Drosophila melanogaster: one gene and its partners. The protein of the gene in region 3 purifies or fractionates together with the protein of the main gene of each other region. This does not show direct contact. Each region holds a gene or a part of one and is shown on either strand. Other genes may lie near its edges. The genes, in order: Prp31, Spc25 and Ndc80.

What was found.
Region 1: the proteins of Ndc80 (region 3) and Prp31 purify together in Drosophila melanogaster (affinity purification with western blotting; one study listed by BioGRID). This does not show direct contact.
Region 2: the proteins of Ndc80 (region 3) and Spc25 purify together in Drosophila melanogaster (affinity purification with mass spectrometry; 2 studies listed by BioGRID). This does not show direct contact.

What each region holds. Positions count from the first base shown.
Region 1 is NT_037436.4:15,157,133-15,160,885, reverse strand, and holds the start of Prp31 (Pre-mRNA processing factor 31), read right to left. Parts: upstream 1,787-3,753; 5' UTR 1,717-1,786; coding exon 1,618-1,716; intron 1,562-1,617; coding exon 1,110-1,561; intron 1,048-1,109; coding exon 429-1,047; intron 370-428; coding exon 34-369; 3' UTR 1-33. Other genes in the region: Msh6, read left to right, coding at 2,399-3,400, 3,459-3,753.
Region 2 is NT_033777.3:12,959,782-12,963,534, reverse strand, and holds Spc25 (Spc25), read right to left. Parts: upstream 1,791-3,753; 5' UTR 1,700-1,790; coding exon 1,573-1,699; intron 1,510-1,572; coding exon 1,293-1,509; intron 819-1,292; coding exon 494-818; 3' UTR 286-493; downstream 1-285. Other genes in the region: grsm (granny smith), read left to right, coding at 3,218-3,753. UniProt on the Drosophila melanogaster protein: Acts as a component of the essential kinetochore-associated Ndc80 complex, which is required for chromosome segregation and spindle checkpoint activity during meiosis and mitosis.
Region 3 is NC_004354.4:13,610,018-13,613,770, forward strand, and holds the start of Ndc80 (Ndc80), read right to left. Parts: upstream 2,046-3,753; 5' UTR 1,949-2,045; coding exon 1,863-1,948; intron 1,801-1,862; coding exon 1,741-1,800; intron 1,679-1,740; coding exon 1,294-1,678; intron 1,226-1,293; coding exon 1-1,225.

The DNA of each region.
Region 1 (3,753 bases), on a different chromosome or scaffold from region 3:
AATTTTATAGAAAATAAGGATAGAGCTGTTCTCTTAAGTGGTCCGCTGTCCCACTGACATGAATCCGGATGTGTTTGAAAAGTATTTGGCATTGGCCTCCGTCTGCGAACGCTCCGCCGCCTGCGGATTCACAATCTCTAGACCTTGCAGTGGCGTAAAGGCCACACTGGATGCCGTTCCGGAGATTTGGCGTTTGACCGTGGTGTTGCCGCCGTACACCTGCTGTTTCTGCAGATTCTTGTGCAACGTTTTGCTAATGCGCACCTTGGTCTTCTCATCCACCTGGGGCAATCGGATGCGGCCGGTGCCAGTTTTGCCGATGGTGCCGCGTGAATAGCCCAGATCTCCTTGGTAGGCATCCTCTTCGATCTGAAAGAAAAGTTCAAAGATTAATACATAACCATTATATTTTTAAGCCAGAAACTTACGTCTCCGAAATTCATGCGGTTCGCTTGCTTGCGGAACTCTGTCAGCGCATATCGTTCCTTCATCTTGCGCACGCGTTTGCCTCCTCGCTTCTTCTTGCTTCCCTCGATGGGTTTGGGCAGCGGCTTTATGAACTTCACCGGCGGCGGCTCCTGCAGCTTGTCCAGCTTCTTTTCCACATCCTCCTTGAAGCGCAGTCCAATCTCCCCGTGGACACTCTCATGACAGGCATCAACACGAGCAGCCAGCACGGACTTGGCGGCCACCAAGCGAGCTGCCTTGCGTCGCAGATCTGGCGCAGTATCCTGCACAATCTGTGAGTAGTACACATAGCCAGTGTGCGGCAACATCTGCGTTTGTGAGAAGCCCGAGAGGGTTTTCTTTTGTGCACCCAACACCTGAACATTGCAGGCCGGCATTTTGGATAATTTGGAAAGGCCACCAGCAATGCCCAAGAGTTTAGCCGCCGTCGATGCTCCAACAATCATGGAAAGATTTGGGGCTATGAAGGTCATGCGACTTTCCACATACTCGTAGATCTTGGACTTGAAGTTATTCAGTTCGATGGCCATTTCGCAGGCCTCGTCGATCTTTGCCTTCTCCGCCGGTGTCAGCATGGTTCTGCGAAAGGGAATGGGATTCAGTGACATGTTATTTTGGGTTACACCGTTCAAATAACTTACCCCTGTGTGGTGGACGCCGTGACTGACACAATCATAATGGTGGCCTGCGTGAGAATAGCCTGCAGCTTCTCGTTATTTTTGACCTGGTCCAGGTCGTTGCCCAGCTCCTTGACCGCCAGCAAGTACTCGATTTCACCCACGATCAGGGAGTCCAATTCGGGGAATCGCTTCTGATACTTCTCCTTGGTGAACTTGTGCACAATGGAGATCTCGTTGTCAATGTCCACAGCTATGGCATTAGCGTCCACGATGAGGCAGTACTCTGGATCGGATTCTACGGATCCCAGCATTTCGGCTGCAGTTCTCTGGCGACTGGCATAGTGCTCGATCTGCTGCAGCGTGTTCTTCAGGCGCTCAGAGTCGCGCAGCTTGCACAGTTCCCGCACCGACTGCACGGTTACATCCACGTCCATCAGATTGGGAGCCGGCTTAGCCAGCTTCTCCGCCAGCAACTGTTTTGTGGGAGGGGAATCATTAGGTCTGATCAACATTTGCTTTGGTTCCTTACGCTCTCGTCCTCTGCACTGGCCATCTCCGAATCCTCCTCCTCCAGCTCATTGTCATTGTCTTCCTCGAGATCGGCTAAAAGCTCATCGGCTAGCGACATTTTGGCTTATTTCAAAAGTTTATTTTGCGATCTCGTGAAATTAAGTTTGTTTTGGAATTGAAGTGACCGTTGCTCAGCCGCCTTAGAATACCATGCGGTTCATTGAAAAAATACTAAGTATTAGCATGAAATATATAGGGTATTCATTTAAAGAATACCATAAGGCTATTCCACTGGATTTTAATTGATCAATTTGACCAAATTCAATAAACATTTCATGAACAGAACGATCCAATATCATAACTCTTGTTATTATTCTGGAAAGTTTCGATTTTCCTGCTTAATTAGAATTCTGTATCTAAAAGTAAAGGAATTGAAAATATGGTTGAAAATATAAGGTTGATGAAAATATAGGTATGGCTATCAATTGTTTTGCTTAATTCTTAACTATCACTCTTTATTTATTTTGGGACAACAAAGCCTAGATAAACACAGATCAAAAATGAAAAAAAATGACTTATTATATAAGAAGCATCAAATTGTAACGAAAAAATAAAATCTCCTCAGTGGTATTCGAAAATTCCAACGGGCACGAGTTCCCTAAATATACTAAATAGTCAAGCTACTATTTCGGTATTATTAAGCCACAATTTGACAGAATATTTTTTGGTTTTGGCGCACAATCGCAGCGTCTGCATCCTGGTTTTTTGAGTAACCTGGCAGACGTTTCTAGGCCATTGTCATGTCCAAGAAGTTAAACACCAGCGTGGGCGGGACGCCCACAAACACGCTACTAAATTACTTTTCCAAGTCGCCAGCTTTCGACAAAAAGAAATTGACTCCTAGCGTGAAAACAGATCCCGATGCATCCAAGAGCGAAAAGGAGAATCTCCAGAACCAGCAGCCAAAAGTGAAGGATGGTAAGAAAGAGGCTTCCAAGCCGGCGGCCAAGAGGAAGTTGCCCATTTCCGACGATGAGCCGGCCAGTGGTCAACGCAAGCGGAAGCGCATCGTTCAGCCGGAATCGGACAGTGAGCCGGAAATGGAGGTAACCAAGTCGGAGGACGACTTCTCCGATTGCGCCTCCGACTACGAACCGGATGAGAATGAAGCCAGCGATGATAGCGTTAGCAGCGGCGCGGAGGAGGTGTCGCCTAGCGAGAACGACATGTCCGTGGACAGTCCGACACCCAAGAAATCGCGCAAAAAGTCTAAGATTCTGAATAACAACAATAACAATGAGCCATCGAGCAAGAAGGTCAAGCTAGAGTCGACCATCCAGTTGGCCGAGGGTGCAACCTTTCAAGAAAAGCTGAAGAACCTGCAGAGCAATGCCAAGCAGGATGCTTCCTACGATGATATCGTGACCAACACGTCCAATCTGGATGAGCCCGTTGTTTGGCCGCACCAGAAACTAGAGTTCCTGCAACCGGACAAGATCAAGGACAAGGAGGGAAGACGTCCAGATCATCCGGACTACGATAAGAGCACCTTGCATGTGCCGGAGAAGTTCCTCAATGGCCTGTCGCCGGGAGTTCGACAGTGGTGGGTCCTTAAGTCGGACAACTATGACTGCGTCTTGTTTTTTAAAGTCGGCAAGTTCTATGAACTGTATCACATGGATGCGGATGTGGGCGTCAACGAGCTGGGCTTCACTTACATGCGCGGCGAGTTTGCTCACTCCGGTTTCCCGGAGATATCCTTCGACAAGATGTCCACCATTCTCGTAGACAGGGGCTTCAAGGTAATTTGTCCAAGGATAGCTCCTTTTCCCAGTAAAACTAATACAAGTTTTTCTTTAGGTGGCTCGCGTTGAGCAAACGGAAACTCCAGATATGATGACTGAGCGCTGCAAGCGGATCAAGGCCACCAAGTTCGACAAAGTGGTGGCCCGCGAGATCTGCCAGATCACCAATCGTGGCACCCAGGTCTTTGGCTCACAGTGCAAGATCGGGCCGAATCATCAGCCCAACTATATGTTGGCCATAGTGGAGAAGGATGAGGGAACTTGTAGCCGGTATGGAGTGTGCTTCATAGACACCTCCATTGGTGACTTTCATTTGGGTGAGTTTGAAGACGACAAGAACTGTTCCCGCC
Region 2 (3,753 bases), on a different chromosome or scaffold from region 3:
ATTACCCAAACATTTGAAATATATATAAAACCTTATAGTAATAGAGAACTCATTAAACCAAATTTATGATATAATTATCACTAAAGTTGTAAATTTGGTTAAATATGATAAGAAGACTTTTGATTTAAAATAAATTCAATAACTGGTTTTTAATTTGAATAAGTTTGAATTGGAACTACTTAAACTGGAGCCTTTCGCGATATCTCTTCTTTGGCGATATCTCTAAAAATTTTTAAGCTTCCAGTGAAGATGATATATCAGAAAAAAGAAAAAAAAAAAAATTTTGGGAGATATATGTATAATTTACACTGCACTTAAACAATTACAAGCAGTACTTAAATGGCTAAAAAACTGCTATAATAAGATGCTTAATTCGTTAAGATGAATTCCCAATTGAGCTTTTATTGGAAGCCAACTATTTATAATGCTAAAATAAAGTGCTCCATTGGAAAAGGGTCTTCCCCCTAATCCAAGTAAATCAGTTAATCGGAAGTCAGGTGTGGCTCATCGGCGATGTGAGATCAATCTCGATTATAGACTTGCAATTGTCTGCTTCCTTGGGCGGAGTAGTGGGAGCACGTGACTCCATAGCCATGTCCATGGCCAGCGAGATAAGCTGCTGCCACTGCGCCACGTCCACATTTAGACTCTCGAGATGCTGACACAGTGAGTCCAGTCCTTCCACATCGGTCGCCTTCAGATCAAAGGGTATCAACTGGTCGCGTTTATCGCCACGGAGTACAGTGACACCCTTCACACGTGCCGGCAGCGCTTCTTGATTTATATAGGTTCTTGTTGTCTTCGACAGCGTGTGAATGCTATAAAATAAAACAAATAAACACACATTGCTCTCATTATAGTATACTAAGTTTAAAACTGACCGCATTAAAATCGGATTTGTTTGAAAAATAAGAGCGCATGTGAGGCTATGCAAATAAATTATGTATGTAAGCTAAATAAGTTATTTGGAACACGACCTCAACTATATCTATTATTTGCAGTTTATAGACTTTGATGATGCTCCTAATAGATTTAGTTAAAGTAAATAAAGTATTTGATTAGTCTCTCACTGCAACTTGTACGCATGTAAAGACCATAAATGTTGACAATACATTATTGTCATATACATATATTTGTACCAATAGTAGTTTTGGATGGACTAAAAATCAATATGAATAGTCATTTTTATGTATAATAAGGACAAGATCGAACCCATTGGAGCCCGGAAAATATTAGCTAGCCATTCGTGCTAAGAAAATCTTAATATGATTATCTTTGACCTAATCCCTGACCTTTCCATGATTTCGTTTTTGCGCTGTTTGGCCAGCATTTTCTGCTGTTTAAACCAATCTTTCATGGCCAAATTGTGAAGTTTGGTGGCCTCCAGTTCTCGATCAAGTTCCTCTATGAAGGAAACTCGCTTGTCCAACTCCTCCCGCCGCTCCATGAGCACTTTTTGCAACTTTCCCACTTTCCGCTGATGGCGCGAAGCTGCTTCCTTGACATCCACTAAAATATTTAGTGAAATATATCAATTGAAATGGAGATATATGGAGATAAATTCCAACTCACACAAATTGCTGTTGAATTTAAAGACCTTTTTGATGAATTTCGCCTCGAGGGCTTCCATGTGAATTTGTTTTTCGTACAAAGCCTTTACGCGCCTTTCGTAACTCGATTCAGTCATAATAATTGCCATTTTAAACTCAATTTACTGCAATCAATTAAAATCTTTAAAAACTAAGCGCCGTTTTCCAGACGCTTGTTTTGCTTTCCAGTTAGTGGTGGTACTTCTCATTAGGGATGACACTTCCACGACACCAGCAGGGTGGCCAGGCTGAAAGAAAAAAGTGGTTCTGCACTTATCGATAGCTGACATCGACTTATCGTCGTGCAAGTCACATCTCTATTAGCCGGCAAGCAAAAAATTGCAAGTCAAATTGGCAGCAAAATAAAATAAAAATAAAACGTCGGCACTTTTGGCAAATTTTTGTGCAATTTCTGAAGCAGGCACTTCATGCGTTTGCTGCTCTGCGTCCAGGCAATACGCAACCATCTCGCTCGCACCTACAGCAGCGCCCGCTTCAAAAAGGTGAGCGAATAAAAAGGCAGAAAATGTGCAAAAAACGCTTTGCAAACGAAGAAATCGCGAACAAAGAGTCTAAAAATAGAGAATATAGAATTTGCATAATATTTCTACATATCGAGTGTCCAGTCAAATCCAATTGAAAATGGGTAAATTAGATGTTTATCCACTTTTCGGTTTCGAATGCTGCGAGTCGGTCAACGACCCACTTGTTGTTCTTGTTGCACCGAATTCAAGGTCATGTGGCATTTGCGATTTTAAGAAACTTAAATCGCTTTATGCACAATGATATCGTGCTTATAAAACCCATGCGAGTTTATGGAGCATCGTAAAGATATGTGCTGAACGATATCTTTTCGGTAGTTTATGTTTTTATTGCCTTGCGACTGTAAAGCTGGAAAATTGATGGCTTTAAGTTGAAAATGTTAACTACTTAGTTAAGTTATTGTACCAAAATATATTAAAATTAATAATTTGTAAAAAAAAACGTTATTTGATTTTATAAGATTTTCTAATATTCGCTAAAACTCAGAAAATGTTATGTAAATTATTAGAATTCATATTGCTACTACAATTTATCTTAATTTGTTCATTATAAATGCAATACAATTTATATTTATGTATATTAGGTGATTATTATAGTTAAAATATTTTAGAGGTAATTTTTTTCTTTTGAAGCTTCATTTTATGAACCCAATGCTTTTTAGTTGTAAACATAATTATTGATTGATTGTTTTTTATTAGAATTTTAGTTATAAAATTATACTGCAGTATTTTTCACAATGGAGCTACTTTAATTGAGCCATTCTAATATGGGTCAGCTATTCTTAAACTTCCCCTACAGCGTTGCATCCGCTTGCAACCGATGAGTAACGCCCCTGTGTTTGTCCAGATGGCCCTACCCATAACCCAAATGCCACTGCTTATCTCGCCGGTTTTGGCTCTCGTGATTTATGGATGGCTGCATCCATTGACCGCCCCTGTGGTGCAAAGTCGTCGACTGATAAGCAAGTGGGGCACTTGGAGCGCTAAACACCAGATTAGCACCGATAAGATAATACCGGCGGCTTATCACTGGGATTTGGCTAGCCATTCCATTCTTTACTCATTCGCACACACATTCTCTTACAGATGGCCACGGACGTAAAGTTTAACGAGTCGCTAGGCTGCAGTGATCCGCAGACACATCCGGTCCTGATCATCGGCCAGCTGCGCCATCTAAACCTACTGAAGTTCAGTCATCTGGAGAGCAAACTCAGTCCGCGCGTCACCGAGGAGACCTTCCTGAATGCCGTCGCTTGTCTGCATCCCGCGCCCACCGATAAGGTATCCCTCTATCTCGATGTGGCCACCGTGGCTGCCCTGCCATTGAAGGCATCCCGACACAATACGGCATCCCGGGCTCATGCCATCACTCGTCTGGTAAAGAACCATGTGCTGAACGTTTCCGAGGAGAGCGTGGTGCTCGTCTGCGAACGAGAGAATCTATTCGCCAGCGCCTGTGCGGTGGTTCGCGCTTTTCCACTCTATTCCCGCAAAACGGGCAATCTGCTGGCCTCAAGTCAGCCAAAGCTAAATCTTGGATGTGGAGATGGAAACGCAAATTCAGGACGCAACGTAGTCAATGTTGAGTTTGTGCTAATCAACAAGGATGGCTGCATTGAGAG
Region 3 (3,753 bases):
CCCTCTTCTCCAACTCATCCAGACGGGCGGTCTGGTCGTACTGATCCTCGAGCAGCTGTTGCCTGTGCTGCGCCTGCATGTCGCGCTTGGTCCGATAACTGGCCTCCATTTTGGTCAGACGCTGTTTCTGCGCCCGCAACTGAGAGTCCATGGTGGCGATTTCGGTGTCTAACTCGATGGAATCAGACTTTACCTTGGCCACCTGCTTGTCCAACATCTGACGCCGATCGATATTCTGCTGGCGGTGCTGTTGCAGAAGTTTGCCCAGCAACTCCAGGCACTGCACCCTCTCCGAGATGTCCTCTTGATTGGGATTTAGTGGCAGAGTAAGGTCCGATTGCTGGCCAATGCCGCTCTTTATCAGGCCACAAATCACCGGGTCCATGCTCAGGTGGCGCACGTGCGAGTTAAAGACCTCAACGGAATCCAGTTGCTTTTGCTTGGCGCGCGACAGCATCACCTGCTGATGCAGCTCCAGCTCGGACACCTCCTTCACCTGGCGCTCATAAGCCTTGGAGTAGTTTTCCATATCGTCGCACTTCATTTGAAGCTCCTTTAGCTGCTGGGCGGAGAACTTCTGCCTGTTAACCGCCTGCTCCAGACGCTTTTCATACTTCATTTGCTGGCGGAGATTAGACTGTTTTTCTTCTACCTGGGCAGACAGCTGTTCGTATAACTTCAGTTTCTTGATCAGCTCCTCTTCACTGGCAGCTAGCTGTTGGGCAAGCTGATCGTGCTCTTTGGTAAGACGTTCCAGTTTGTTCAGTTTATTGTCTTCACTGGGATCATGCAACTTATTCTCCAGTTGCTGTAGTTTCGTCTTCAGATCGCCGATTAGCTGGTCTAAGGCTTTGCGATCGGGCAAATCACACTTCTTGCTGATCACCTGATCCCTGGTCTCCGCCTGCAGCTTGGCCTCCTCATTGGTAAGCTCCTGATCCCACAAGGCAATGCATTTGCTAGCCTCTTCGAAGAGCAGACCATTGACGTCTTCATCTAGCTGAATGGCGTGCGCCTGTGTGGTGGACATGATGGTCGTCGACTCGCAGTGCATGCTATTCAGATACGAGCTGGGCTGCTCCATGGTTTCCATAAACGGAAACTCCTCCTCCACCACATCCGACGAGGGCAGAGGCGGTAAAAAGTCCATGAGAAAGTCCAGCAGAACGATCACATGGCCGAATGAATGCTGTGTTGTTGGCGATACAAGCCATGATTTGTTCACCTGCAAGTCACAAGTGGATTTAAGAATTAAACGAACACTGGAAACCTAAGAGCATCCGAGTTGCTTACCTGATAAGGATACTGTAGCTTTTGCATTGCGCTGGTAATATCCTCGACATGGTTCTGGCCCACTGTCACGCGATTTCGCCAGATGTGGTGGAACATAAAGTTGAGAATGGAAACAAATTGCTTGATGGTCATGTGTCGCAAACCCCCGGGCCGACTGAATAGATCCGCAATAAGTCCAGTGGGCGCCTCGCTGTTCTGAATGCCATGTAGGTATTCCAGGATCTGCTGTGCCCTCTCCGCCACCCATTTCTTGTCGGAGTGTGGCGCAATGGCGCGCTCCGCAGTGGAGGGCACAAACCGGTGGCCTCGCTTGGGCGTCACGCCCATTTGACTGGCCCGATCGCGCTCCAAGTTCAGCGGCTGCGGCAGACGCGATGCGGACGGCCTATGCGGATTGGATTCAAACATTACTGGTTGTGCCTTCGATAATCAAATGGTTGTGCATACCTTCTGGGTGCCGCCTGGCTGGAGGACGGAGTGTGCGTGGCTGCGCTCCGCTTTGTTGCCCTGGAAAAGGATACGCATTTGCATCGTTGACAAGATTTGATCAGTTGGATTTCGATGCTCACCTGGTTTGCCGCTTATCGGCAGTGCCTCGCTCCTCCAGTACATCGCCACGGAACTCGCTGGTCCGCCGGGGCATCAGGTGCGACATCTTGGCGTTATTGAAACTACGTTGATTAAATTAAATGTTTACTCAGTTTGATTGGGAATCGCGCGTCGTTTAACGCCTGTTATCGGCAAATCGATAGTTTCCAGGGATGCAGTCGCGATTGACACCCTAGTGTTACTAAACCATCTGGCAGCACTGCCAAATAAAAAGTGCGCCATTTACTTAAAAATTCTGATTACTTTAGGATCATGCCACCAAAACGGAACAAAAAAGCAGAGGTACGATTGAAATACTACATTATTTCAATAGCTAAATGCATTTCCAAACGATTCTACAGGCGCCAATCGCTGAGCGGGATGCAGGCGAAGAGCTGGATCCCAATGCGCCGGTGCTCTACGTAGAGCACTGCCGATCCTGACGAGTCTTTCGTCGTCGAGCGGAGGAGCTGCACTCCGCTCTCCGGGAGCGTGGTCTCCAACAGCTTCAGCTCCAGCTGAATGCACTTGGAGCACCACGGCGAGGAGCCTTCGAGTTAAGTTTGAGCGCCGGCGGAATGGGAAAGCAGGAGCAGGTGGCACTTTGGTCGGGTCTAAAGCGGGGTCCACCACGTGCTCGCAAGTTTCCCACTGTGGAGGAGGTATACGATCGGATTGTAGGGATTCTAGGTGACCAGCAGGAGTCCAAGGAACAGATCAACACGCAGAAGTTATCTAAAATTGATTTACCGGGGTCCGAGGCTCTAGCATCGCCAAAGAAGTCGGAGTCCACAGAGGAAGCACAGGAAAACGAGGTAGGGAAGGCCCAATAAGTCCAGAAAAAATTAACTAAATATTGTTTTTATCAAAAACGAAGGCACCAACTTCAACTTCAACTTCGCGTAAATCCAAAAAGGAACAGAAATCCGAGGAAGAGCCAACTCAAGTCGATTCAAAGGAAGCGAAGCAATCCAAAGAGTTGGTCAAAACGAAGAGACAACCGAAAGCCCAAAAGAAGCAGGCAAAGGCATCCGAATCCCAAGAAGAAGTTGCCGAAGATAAGCCCCCTAGCAGCCAGAAACGGAAGCGGACCACCAGATCCTCCACAGACGAGGCTACTGCCGGTGCCAAGCGGAGGAGGTAGTTGTGCCCAAAACAAAGCGTTCAGCAATAGAGCCCTATGATCGATGATTGGCAAATCCTCTCGAGGAACCGATCGTTGAGAACCCCTTTGCCTTTGTTGATCGCTCAATTTTGGATCAAAAACTACATACATGAAAAATACTCGAGCATTGTTATTACAAAATATATTAAAACATCTTAGAAACCTATTTCCATTTTTGTTTTTTTTTTTCATTCTCTTGTGGTTCATTTTTGTCTGATTTTTTGCCTCTCATTCGTTAAAATTTTGTGGACTTTGATTTTTCTTCCAAAATGTACATGTTTTCCTTTTTTGATCTTATTTCAATTTTGTCCCTTCTTAGTTAGTTAAAATTTGTTTTCGTTTTTAGCTCAGCTTAATAATTATGATCCTAGAGAAAAAATTTTGGTTTTACGAAATTGTTTTTACTTTTAGCTTCTTCTAATGCTAGAGATACCCTACCACTTGCCTAAATAGATTACAATCTGAATTGTCTCTTTTTTAACTAAAATTTTGGTTAAATAAAAAAAATTGAATATAATATGTGGGGAGGGGTGGGGAGCTAGGTGAAATAGTATTAAGAACATGCAGCAACAGAAACCGAGAGATTGCGATTAGGTGGAGAGCCAGTCCAAAAGGTGGACTTGCCTTAAGTAGAGTCGCAAATACAATGCATGCAAGTATGTATATATATATATATGTATATAATGTCTGTACACCCATATATATAA